Linked DNA regions of Mus musculus. The protein of the gene in region 3 purifies or fractionates together with the protein of the main gene of each other region. This does not show direct contact. Links are inferred from orthologs where the notes say so. Each region holds a gene or a part of one and is shown on either strand. Other genes may lie near its edges.

Region 1 (3,500 bases), on a different chromosome or scaffold from region 3:
TGAACTGCTAACCCTGCTGCCTCCACCCTGCAAATGCTGGGAATACAGTTTTGAAGGTTTTCTTTAAAATCCTTTTGTTTTGTTTTAGGTCCGAGTCACTTGTTGATACTTATAAATTTGGCATTCCAACAGGTCAAACGTAACAGGTTCTTATATACTTTGGGGTTCCAACATTAAGAAAAGTGTAATTTTTGGAAAAGTTCGTTTGTGTCAGGGTGCTAGCACAGATGCCTCTCAGATCTTTAAATGAGTTTATCAGACAGCATAGTAAATACAAAGACAAGTAATAGGATGACAAGGCAGCCTCTCAAAAGCAAGAGCTAAAGGCTCAGCTGTTACAAAGGGTCCAGAAGCTGGAGGAATCAGTCCGAAGGGGCTTAGTGCTAAGAAGACAGACTGGGATAGATGGCTGAGAGGAAAGCCAGGTACACACAGTAACTATATGTATTAGTCAAGGGGTACAAAGCCTTGATGCCTTTAGGGGCCAGGCAGATAGTAAAGAGAGAAGTAGACTGCATAGGACAGCAGGGTCCTGCAGACACTGCCCGCCCAACTGCACAGCAGTCACCTATTTCTACAGTCAATTAAACTCAGGGATTTATTTAGACACCACTAGCGATTCAAATCTGTTAAAGGTCAAATTGAGCCTCAGGTTCCCAGTTTGCAGAAAGGAGGCAATAAATGTTTGAAAGAACTCTTTAATCCACGCAAGAGTTATGCCTGAGATAAGAGGATACCTCCCTTCCTGCTCACAATGTCTTCTGAACGTACTCACCCAGGACTGGAGACTAGTAGCTTCAACAGTGCTATTGGCTCACTAGAGATGACTGTAGTATGCTAAGCAATTTGTAATAAATAACATCAAGTCTTGACATCATGATGATGTACTTTTGAAACATATAAATTTATAAATTAAAAGCAGATAAAAGGTTAACTCTAAAAAATAATGTCACTTTCATTAATATGCCAAAGAATAGGTGAAATTACTTAAGAGGAAGAAACAAAGCATTAATTCTCTATATCTATAGGAGAGGGCTTGTGAAACTTTGACTTGAATTCTGGAATAAAGTTATAAGTCATTGTTTAGACCAAGAAAAAAAATGGGTGCAGAGAAATTGTGATATCTGGTCTTGGTGCCATGATACCTGGGTTGGAAAGAATCAATTTCTGATTTTTATAAAACCATGCTCTTTAACATTGAAAAGATAACATTTTATAATCAGTGAAGGGGCTTCAATACTATTGAAACTATTCATTTTAAGCTATTGAGCTGACAGTAATCACATGATTATTGCTTATGTTTTAAAGAGTCAGAATAAATTTTCTTTTACTAAAAAAGTCATCTTGCTTTAAGTCCTAGCAGTAGTTCTCTGCTTTGAAAACGTCTCAGGAAGTAAGAACTGCAGACAAGCAGGATACAGTGAGTAGATCTCTGTACTATCATATTTTATTTTGATGGCAACTAAAACTACAATGCTGACCAAAAAAGGCACTTTGCACTAAGTCTGGTTTGAGGACTAATGAAGAAGACAGTTTAAGCACGTCTGCATGTGTGTGCATTTACATGTACCTATGGACATTATATTTAAGTATTTACTTAACCAATGCAGTGCTTGCACAGTATATTCCTGAAGCAGTCTAGTTAGTAGACAGAGAGCATTATTGTTTGACGGAAGGAAAGAAGCCTTGTAAAGGTGTATATGCAGTGCAAAGTTTATAATTTTAGCTAGTATCTTATTACCTGGTGGCCGGTTTGAAAAGTCTGGCAGTTTGGGGCCTGTGGTGTCCAAGTTGATTCCTTGTTCTCCAGGTAATGACTGTTGATCAACTTCCTCTAGACCAGTTGGACGATTATCTGGGGTGCTAAAACACAAGTAGCACAGATTGAGTAAGCTGTATAAGGAACACAGGAATCTAGTGCAACCTCTTCCTACTTTAAACAACAACAATGTGTTTATATATTGCTCTTACCATTATTTGTATCTTTCTAGTCTGGATTCTTACTAGTGACATAAGAGTAACCTGGCCATTTCATTAAACCTTACAGTTCATTTAATCTTAGCAGTGTCCTTACTCAGTGTCACTCTCTAATTCCTGATACTATGTTTTATATAATGACCTTTGATGTTAGCTTGAGCAGGACTCTGAGCTTCCAGTACTCTGCAGTGTCACTCCTGTGATACCGACTCCAGTGTAGCTATTAATGCAACCCAGATGCCAGGGATTCAGCAGCCTAAGGTAACTTTACATGTCTGCCAACTGGATGGAGACGGTACTCAAACAATAAAGGTGGAAAATACCACAACAAAGCTACTTAGCTTTGCTGTGGAACGAAGACTTGGAGACATTAACCATTGGATTCTTTCTGTAACTTAGAATTCTAGTGGGAAGCCGGGCGTGGTGGCACACGCCTTTAATTCCAGCACTCGGGAGGCAGAGGCAGGCAGATTTCTGAGTTCGAGACCAGCCTGGTCTACAAACTGAGTTCCAGGACAGCCAGGGCTATACAGAGAAACCCTGTCTCAAAAAAACAACCAACCAAACAAACAAACAAAAACCAAAAAATAAAAAATAAAAAAAGAATTCTAGTGGGAAAGAAAAAAATGAAAACATTCTTTTTTTCCTACTCATGCCCACATTTTTGAGGATCCAGTGTGCTTATATTCCTCATTTGGTTTATTTTTTATTCCCATTTGTATCTTCCTTTCCTAAACTAATTTCCCTTTGATTTGATTATGGTCACCCCCTTGTAAACAGTATTTTGTCCCATAACACTCTGTATAGTTTTATAAACCATCAAATTCCTTTAAAAAACAGCACCAGCAGCAGCAGCATAAGACTGGAGAGATGGCTCAGAGGTTATGAGCTATAGCTGCTCTTCCAGAGGATCCAGGTTCAATTCCTAGCATCACCATGGCAGCTCATAACCACCTGTCACTGTAGATCCAGGAGACCTGACACTCTTATCTAGCCTCCGGTAGCATCAGATACAGAAGCATGTGGTGTACAGACACACGCAGCCAAAATACCCACACATAAACAATAAGAGACCCCCCCCCAAGCATTTAACAGGTCCTAAGGACAACCAAATCACTATGCCAATTTGTTCCTTATATAACTTTCCAGTTATTTCAAATTATAAATGAAGATTTTGTGGTATCCTTCACTTAAAAATTTTTTATAGCTAAAACAATGAAAGAAACACTAATAGTCTAAGACAGGTTTCATGGTAAGATAATGGTAGAACTGGAGGTAGGTTAGCTTCCTCCTAAGCCTCTCTTTCTTAGGAGCCCTGCCTGATGCTGTTTAAGACCCTTTTAGAAGTGTGTTGAATCAACAATTCACCAGAAGGCTGGTGAAGACAGCAAAAACATACTAATGGCAAATGAATAAGTATAATTTTATTTCTAGCATACTGAGGGGAATAAGATAATTACTACCATAAAAAATGTTATTTAGGGCTGGTGAAATGGCTCAGTGGGTAAGAGCACCCGACTGCT
Region 2 (3,485 bases), on a different chromosome or scaffold from region 3:
CTGAGAAGCAGCTCTACCATGTTCTCAAGTGCAAGCAGTGTTAAGAAGAAGTCTGGAGAAGCCTGGAGAAGTCATCAGAGGATGTGCTGTATAAAGACCAGATGCTACAGCACACCTGCCTCCTGTCACTGTCCAGCTCAGTCTGCTTGGAGGAAGATCCCTGCCAGGGACTCCTGCTAGCTCCTACGGCCACCAAGCTATGTCATCTAGCTCTGTTTACTGAGCTCTCGGGGCTAAGAGGAAGTGTTTGGTAAATGCACTCAGCTGGGTGACACCACACAGATGGAGGACCAATAATGACATCACTCTAATCTGGGGGCTTTTCACACATTAAAGTAACCACCTCAGCTGGGCACAGTGGCTCATGCCTGAAATCCTGGCACTCAAGGTGATCCCTATGAAGTCAGCCCAGGCCACAGGGTGCCAGGCCAGCATGCAATAAAGTAAAACCTCCTCTCAAGTATCTGTGCCCTGGGCTGGAGAGATGGCTCAGTGGTTAAGAGCACTGACTGCTCTTCCAGAGGTCTGGAGTTCAATTCCCAGCAACCACATGGTGGCTCACAACCATCTGTAACAAGATTTGATGCCCTCTTCTGGTGTGTCTTAAGACAGCAACAGTGTTCTCATACATATAAATAAAATAAATCTTAAAAAAAAAAGAAAAACAAAATCTGAGTCCTTCTAAAACTAATAGCTGAGATTTAGTGATACAGACTGTAAACTGACAGGCTTCCTCCCTGGGAGCCTGAAAAACCTTAGCTGTTCAACACAGACCCAGCCACATCTGTACCTTAACTATAATGCCATATCAAGCTGTGTCACTTCCCACCTCATGGCTGTGGAGGGTGGAATAGCCCTCAGGCATAGACTCCCATCTTTTTCTATGGGGTCAAACTGTAAAATCCTTCAACACCTATGTAAGCTAAATAGGCAGGTCACCTGTAATAGCAAGGAAAAAGTCTGGAGACCAGAACCATGATGCCCCTTTTTAACTTGCAAATGCGCCTTCAGCCTCACCTGTCCCTGCAATGCGCCTTCGTAAAGGATATGATTCATAGTCCAGTGTCTGTGTGAGTACTCCAGTCAGGACAAACTCCGCATTGTGAACATCTGAAGGAACAGAACCAAAACTGTTAGGACAAGGCCACTGAGAACACTCACAGGTCAGTGTAGAGGTGCACGGAGCCATACCTATTCCCCTGGCAAAGTACTCGCGACATAAGTGCAGGTCGTTCTCACAGGATATTAAAATGATCTCTGAAAGACTCTAGGGAAAGAGAGAATGAGCTCTGAGTGAGGGCGAGGGAGAAGCACCCACAAGGCACAGCACTGGCGTCTCGGGGCTCTGCTCTCACCTTATTCTGCTTGTGCTCCATGAGCTTCCGGAAGGACGGCTGCTTGGCTAGCACCTTTCCCCCTGCACACTCTACAATTGCCTTCATAGTTGCAAGGCTTGGGCAGATGCCAGGGGTGATATAGAAATACTTTGTCTAGAAGTAAACAGAAACATATCTTTTAAATGTTTTTAATTGCATGCAACTTTTCATAAAGCTTTCTTGGGGCTTTGTTTTTTCCAACAGGTTGTCTGTGTAGCTCTAGAATTTCTATATAGAGCAGGCTGGCCATGAAATCCCAGATCTGTCTGACTCTTATCTCAAAATTAAAGTAGAGAACACCTGCTCTACTGAGATTTTATTACAAGATATCTTAATTTTCTAGAACTATGAAGGTTAAGTTCCCCACTAGCTCCCTATCTTCTGCACCCCCACCCCCACAGGGGGGTTAGCTCACAGAGGGGGTTAACTCACAGAAAGCGTCAATCCACAGAGGGGGTTAGCTCAGAGGGGGTTAGCCCACAGAAGGGGCCAGTCCACAGAGGGGGTTAGCTCACAGAGAGGGTTAGCCCACAGAGGGGTTAGCTCACAAAGGGAGTTAGCTCACAGAGTGGGTTAGCCCACAGAAGGGGTTAGCTCACAGAGGGGTTAGTCCACAGAGTGGTTAGCTCACAGAGGGGTTAGCTCACAGAGAGGGTTAGCTCACAGAGGGGGTTAGCCCACAGAGAGGGTTAGCTCACAGAGTGGTTAGCCCACAGAGGGGTTAGCTCACAGAGAGGGTTAGCTCACAGAGGGGTTAGCTCACAGAGGGGTTAGCCCACAGAGAGGGTTAGCTCACAGAGGGGTTAGTTGAACATTTCCCACATGGACCACATGGCCTGTGGTCAGGAAAAATAACTACATTTAGATGCCGTGGTCATTCTGAACACATTTATAACTCAAGAGTCTGAAAAGACATTGGTGTTGCAATAAGGACAAAAAATCAAAACACTTTCCTTGATGTCACTTAACCAAAAGGTTCAGAATTTCAACTCTCTCCCTGTGTCTTCCATCCTCTCCTTTCTATTGTATAAATCTGAATCTGTGCCTGCCTGAAGGGTATCTTGGAAATCTGTCCCTGTCCCCGAGTCTGCTTCTGTCCCTCACAAAGGGTTTTCCTCTCCTCTTTATTGAGCAGCATTAAAAAAAAAAAAAAAAAAAAAAAAACCATCATATACAGAAGGAACAATGATTTCACAGAAATCTTTAGCTGACTCCAACCAATGCCCAATGATCCAGGCAACAGACAGTATTGCTAACATGACTATAGATCAAGCAGTATCCAAATGGTATGTTCAACATTAATGATGGATATTTGTTTCTAAGATAGCTTCCAGCCCATCTGCTGTTTCCAGCAAAGATGATCAGAACACACGTTGAAGCACACAGCTATCACTCTTAGGTCAGGGACACAGAAGAGTACATAATTTAAGTATAGCTATTTAATAGCTTGGGTTGTAAAAGGTGATTACAAGGGAAATCCAAGGCAAGTAAGGTAGATGATACATTGTTTCTTAAAGGCAGGTTAAACAAAATTCTTACATTGGGGGAGAGAATATGCTCTTGTTTCTACAGGAAAAGAAAAACTATGGATTCCATCCAAATTAATAAAAAATCAGATTTGATAGAAGAAGACATCCCCCGCCCCCCAAAGAAAGATCTTAGCTACAGACAGAAAGAAAGAAATCAAGAAGACCAATAGAACAGGTAACAACATCATTTGCTGATTCCTCTACATAGGAACAGCTCTGAACCTGGCTGAGACATAAAGATGTCTCTAACCGGAACTTCAGCTATATATGCATCGCCCATGGACCTTGAGTCCTCAAACTGTTAGGCTAAGAAATACAATAGTCAGTCAAACTCATGGTCATATTGGGTACCAGTTTAGTTAATTACAATAAAATTTTTCAAAGTTATTCAGTATGGTGGTTTGTACATGCTTAGCCCAGGGAGTGGCACTATTAGGAGGTGTGGCTTCTTGGAAGAAGTATGTCACTGTGAGAATGGGCTTTGAGACCTTCCTCCTAGTTGCCTCAGGAGCCAGCCTTGTACTGTTTCACTTTGAAACAAGATGTAGATTTTTCAGCTCCTCTTGCTCCATGCCTGCCT
Region 3 (3,997 bases):
CTGCCAGCCATAGGCTTCCTTTCTCCCTGCACTTTTGCCTGCAGACCCCCACCCCACTCCTGCCTCTTGACCTCCCTAACCCTGCACTCTGAAAACCTCTCTGCACTTCTGGAAGCCTTCCTGAACATCTAAATTGTACTCTGCACCTCTGCATCTCTCCCAGCCTCCCTGCACTTCTTCCTGCCTCTGGAATCCTCTGAACCTTATCCCTGGCCTCCCAACGTTCATTGTCTTGGTATCTAACCCATCCCGTTCTCCCCTTCCTTAACACCGTTTTTCCCCTTGCCACGTCCCCTGACCCTTTCTCCCTTTTCATCTCCCCCTTAGCGTCTTCACCCTCCTGCCAACACTTAGTCTGCAAAAACTGCAGTACTTAGGTCAGGCTGAGGGAAGAAGGATGGTGTGGGGAGAGGAGCCTAGCTGGGGGCTCTGACTGTTCTCTACTGGGGACCACCCAGGCCCAGACCATACCCTACCCCTACCCCTAAGGTGCCTATTGGGTCCCAAAGCTGGCAAGTGAGTCCTCACCTGGGGGACCTTCTGAGAGTCCTTATTCTGAACATCCAGGGGAGGAAGGGGCATAGCTGCGCCTGAAGAGTCAGCCTGAATTGATCTGCCCGTTTGGGCTTTTTAACCTCAGAGTTTCTTGTTTGAAGGTCTATTTATGTGCTTTGTAAACAGTAGAATTCAAAACAAAACAAACAAACAAAAACAGGACCAAAGTTCCCAGCTGCAGGGAGCAAGGGAAGGGTGGGGGAGCTCTGTAATTATTCTCTAAGAGGATGAGGGAGGTTTGTTGCACGCGACAGCCCTCTGAGGAGGCAGAGAGCCAGCTGCGATGCATTTCAGAGTTGGCGGGGTTTTTTGTTTGTTTCCTTTCTTTTTTAAAAAAAAAAAAAAAAGTTGGGGGAAAACTAAAATTCCTTTTCAAAAAATAAAACTGAGTCTCCCTTTTTGTATGCTGAATGCTGCATGAGTCTTAAACACTAATAAACAGAGAATGCATGAGACTGGCCTCAGTTGGTCCCTGTGTTTGCAGAGTCAAGGTACTGCTTTCTGGCAGGCCCTACTGAACGGAATACGCATGCGCTGCCGCAGTGGCCATCTTTAGTATGGGCCGAGGTTAATGAGTCCTAAGGGCCAAATTGCGCATGCGCAAGTCTTCTCTTTCCTCTTCCAAGTAGCTTTGACTACCGCGGAGCCTCCGCGCGCCATTTCTCTGCGCCTGCGTACTGAGATGCTGCGCAGCCTGGGAGGCGGGTTTTAGCTCCAGGTTTGTACCGCTGCTGAGTAGACGCGAACTAGGTTTGCCCGGTCTAAAAAGATGACTTCCATCCCGGTGATGGAGAAGGCGATGTGAAAGCGAGAAAACAGGCCCTTCCCTTTCCAGCTCCGAGCGTGTTTCCTGCGGGTCCCTGGGAACGGCAGAATTCTGGGTCCGTGGGGTGGGGTCTGTCCTTGCAGGGGTTTGAGCGCCCCCTCCTGGGGACGGTGCTCTGGCCGCAGTCAGCTGTTGGACTGACTGGCGATTTCCTAGACCTAGAAAGGCTCTCCAGCCTTTCGGGTGAGGCGCACTGGTTTGGTACTCTAGAATCTCCTCTATTGCTGGGCTTCTTCTCTAGTACTCTATGTCCCTTGCCCTGGGCCATGGAACCATTGCAGGCAGCACAGCAGCGCCTCTGTCTGAAGAAGGGGAAGTGACTTCCGGCCTCCAAGCTCTGGCGGTGGAGGACACTGGAGGTCCCTCTGTCTCGGCTAGTAAGGCCGAGGAAGAGGGGAAAGGCAGTCAGGAGGAGGCCGGGCGTGAGGGATCCAGGCCTGAGGAGGCACTAGAAGCTCCCAGCGCTGCGAGCGACGAGCGTGCGGAGGGAGAAGCCGAAGACTGGTGCGTGCCCTGCAGCGATGAGGAGGTGGAGCTGCCGGCCAATGGGCAGTCCTGGATGCCCCCACCCTCCGAGATCCAGCGGCTCTATGAACTGCTGGCTACCCAAGGTACTCTGGAGCTTCAAGCAGAGATCCTACCCCGCCGGCCGCCTACCCCAGAGGCCCAGAGTGAAGAGGAGAGATCAGACGAGGAGCCAGAGGCCAAAGAAGAGGAGGAGGAAAAGTGAGGCCATGCTTTACACATTATTCCCGGGACTGCTCTCCTGAGCACGGAGCCTGGAGGGAGGGGAGAGCAGGAAAGGATGAGGCGGCGGGCTGGGGTGTGCCAGCGGGTGTTAGGGAGTGCTTCTCTCAACCTTGGCTTTCTGTCCACCCTGTTTCAGGCCGCACATGCCTACAGAATTTGACTTTGATGATGAGCCAATGACACCAAAGGACTCACTGATTGACAGGAGACGGACACCAGGTACGGATGAGAGGGAAGAACTGAGGGGAGGTAAAGGGCCTCCCCTAGTTACCCCGCCCACAAGTGGGCTGGTCTGAGGCCTTGGCTGGTTTCAGCCATCATCTTGACCAGCAGTGGGACGGAGCATTCATACAGTAGCATTCACACAGTAGCAGCATAGTTCTGGCTTAGGTCAGTGCCATACTTTCCTATCAGGGACCCCGCAGACCTTCCCAGAAGTTCAAAGTTTGTTGAACACATCTCTGAAGTACTATGTTCATGCCCAGAGCTGACCTGACATCCCAGCCTGTGGGCCTTCCTAGAATATGCTTTTAGAATCATTCTGGAGCTCTCTCGCAGCCGGCCAAGCCAACAGCAAGTTGCATTAGCTCCGCTTGTACAGATCCACCATTGTCAACCAGAGGAGTCCTTTTAAGTGAGGTCCCGTCTTTCCTCAGCTTGTACTACTCCCGAGGATTCCATTCCAGAGAGGAAGAGCATGTCCACGGAGAGTCTTAAGTTTTCTGGCCTCTACCCCTGCCCCAGGACCTTTGCACATGATGGTTATGTTCCCCAGCCATTGCATTATGGGTATCTTAGTCTAATACCAGCCATCCTGTGTGTGGCCCAAACCTAAACATTAGCTCCTCTGTGCCCCTGAGGCCTAAGAAGGGAGTATTTAACAAGATCTCTAAGTGTGGGCACTTGGAGGGCTCACGTCTCAATGCTGTCATGTTTTCTACCATCTTAGGAAGCTCAGCCCGGAGCCAGAAACGGGAGGCGCGTCTGGATAAGGTCCTCTCAGACATGAAGCGCCATAAGAAACTAGAGGAGCAAATCCTCCGGACCGGGAGAGACCTCTTCAGCTTAGACTCAGAGGGCCCCAGCCCCACCAGCCCTCCACTCCGATCCTCAGGAAACAGTCTCTTTCCCAGACAGCGGAAGTACTGACTGGTGCTGCTCCTGCCTACAGGTGCAGACTGTTTTGTGCTGGGCATGGCCAGCCTTTCCCAACCCAGGCTCTGGGGAACTTGTAATGGGGAAGGCCTCAGGCTCCCAGCGCAGTGCCTCTCAGGAGAGTGCCTGTGTGTTCTGTTTAGTGTCTGTTCGCAGTTTTGAGCTGGATGTGCTAAATCTAATAAAAGATGCCCGATGAGTTGGGCGTGGTGGCGCACGCCTTTAATCCCAGCACTCAGGAGGCAGAGGCAGGCGGATTTCTGAGTTCGAGGCCAGCCTGGTTTACAGAGTGAGCTCCAGGACAGCCAGGGCTACACAGAAACCCTGTCTCGAAAAACCAAAAAAAAAAAAAGATGCCGGGTGATCTTCTCAGAGGAGAGACTGCAGCTCAACCCAAGCACGCATTCTCACTTGGGCAGAGGCAGAGCTGTGTTCCTCCACACTGTAATATTGAAGCCAGAAGAGGCAGAGGCTCAGCCAGCCACCATCCCCCACCCCCACCCTTACTGCTGCATCCTCTGATTTCCTAGTCTCGGTCCAGACCCGCCAGTTAGCACTGATTCAGAAACTGCCCCCAGCTGTGGTGACTTCAGTGCAGCCTGGAGGAGCAAAAGATCCAGTTGCAGGGCCCTTTAAATACACAAGCTCCGCCCCTGCCTGCCCAGCCCATTAGGGAAGTCATCCCAAGTGTTGGTGAGGGAAATTCCTGAC

What was found. Proteins that work in one complex are often made in the same cells at the same time.
Region 1: the proteins of Pagr1a (region 3) and Ncoa6 purify together in Homo sapiens (affinity purification with mass spectrometry; 3 studies listed by BioGRID and IntAct, with this or other methods). This does not show direct contact. The link is inferred for Mus musculus from reciprocal best matches to the Homo sapiens genes PAGR1 and NCOA6.
Region 2: the proteins of Pagr1a (region 3) and Paxip1 purify together in Homo sapiens (affinity purification with mass spectrometry; 6 studies listed by BioGRID and IntAct, with this or other methods). This does not show direct contact. The link is inferred for Mus musculus from reciprocal best matches to the Homo sapiens genes PAGR1 and PAXIP1.

What each region holds. Positions count from the first base shown.
Region 1 is NC_000068.7:155,409,784-155,413,283, forward strand, and holds part of Ncoa6 (nuclear receptor coactivator 6), read right to left. Parts: intron 1,864-3,500; coding exon 1,742-1,863; intron 1-1,741. UniProt on the Homo sapiens protein: Nuclear receptor coactivator that directly binds nuclear receptors and stimulates the transcriptional activities in a hormone-dependent fashion. Coactivates expression in an agonist- and AF2-dependent manner.
Region 2 is NC_000071.6:27,743,066-27,746,550, forward strand, and holds part of Paxip1 (PAX-interacting protein 1), read right to left. Parts: intron 1,491-3,485; coding exon 1,356-1,490; intron 1,268-1,355; coding exon 1,192-1,267; intron 1,111-1,191; coding exon 1,050-1,110; coding exon of another isoform or gene 989-1,049; exon of another isoform or gene 1-988.
Region 3 is NC_000073.6:127,014,553-127,018,549, reverse strand, and holds Pagr1a (PAXIP1-associated glutamate-rich protein 1A), read left to right. Parts: upstream 1-1,197; 5' UTR 1,198-1,628; coding exon 1,629-2,107; intron 2,108-2,267; coding exon 2,268-2,350; intron 2,351-3,080; coding exon 3,081-3,280; 3' UTR 3,281-3,499; downstream 3,500-3,997. UniProt on the Homo sapiens protein: Its association with the histone methyltransferase MLL2/MLL3 complex is suggesting a role in epigenetic transcriptional activation. However, in association with PAXIP1/PTIP is proposed to function at least in part independently of the MLL2/MLL3 complex.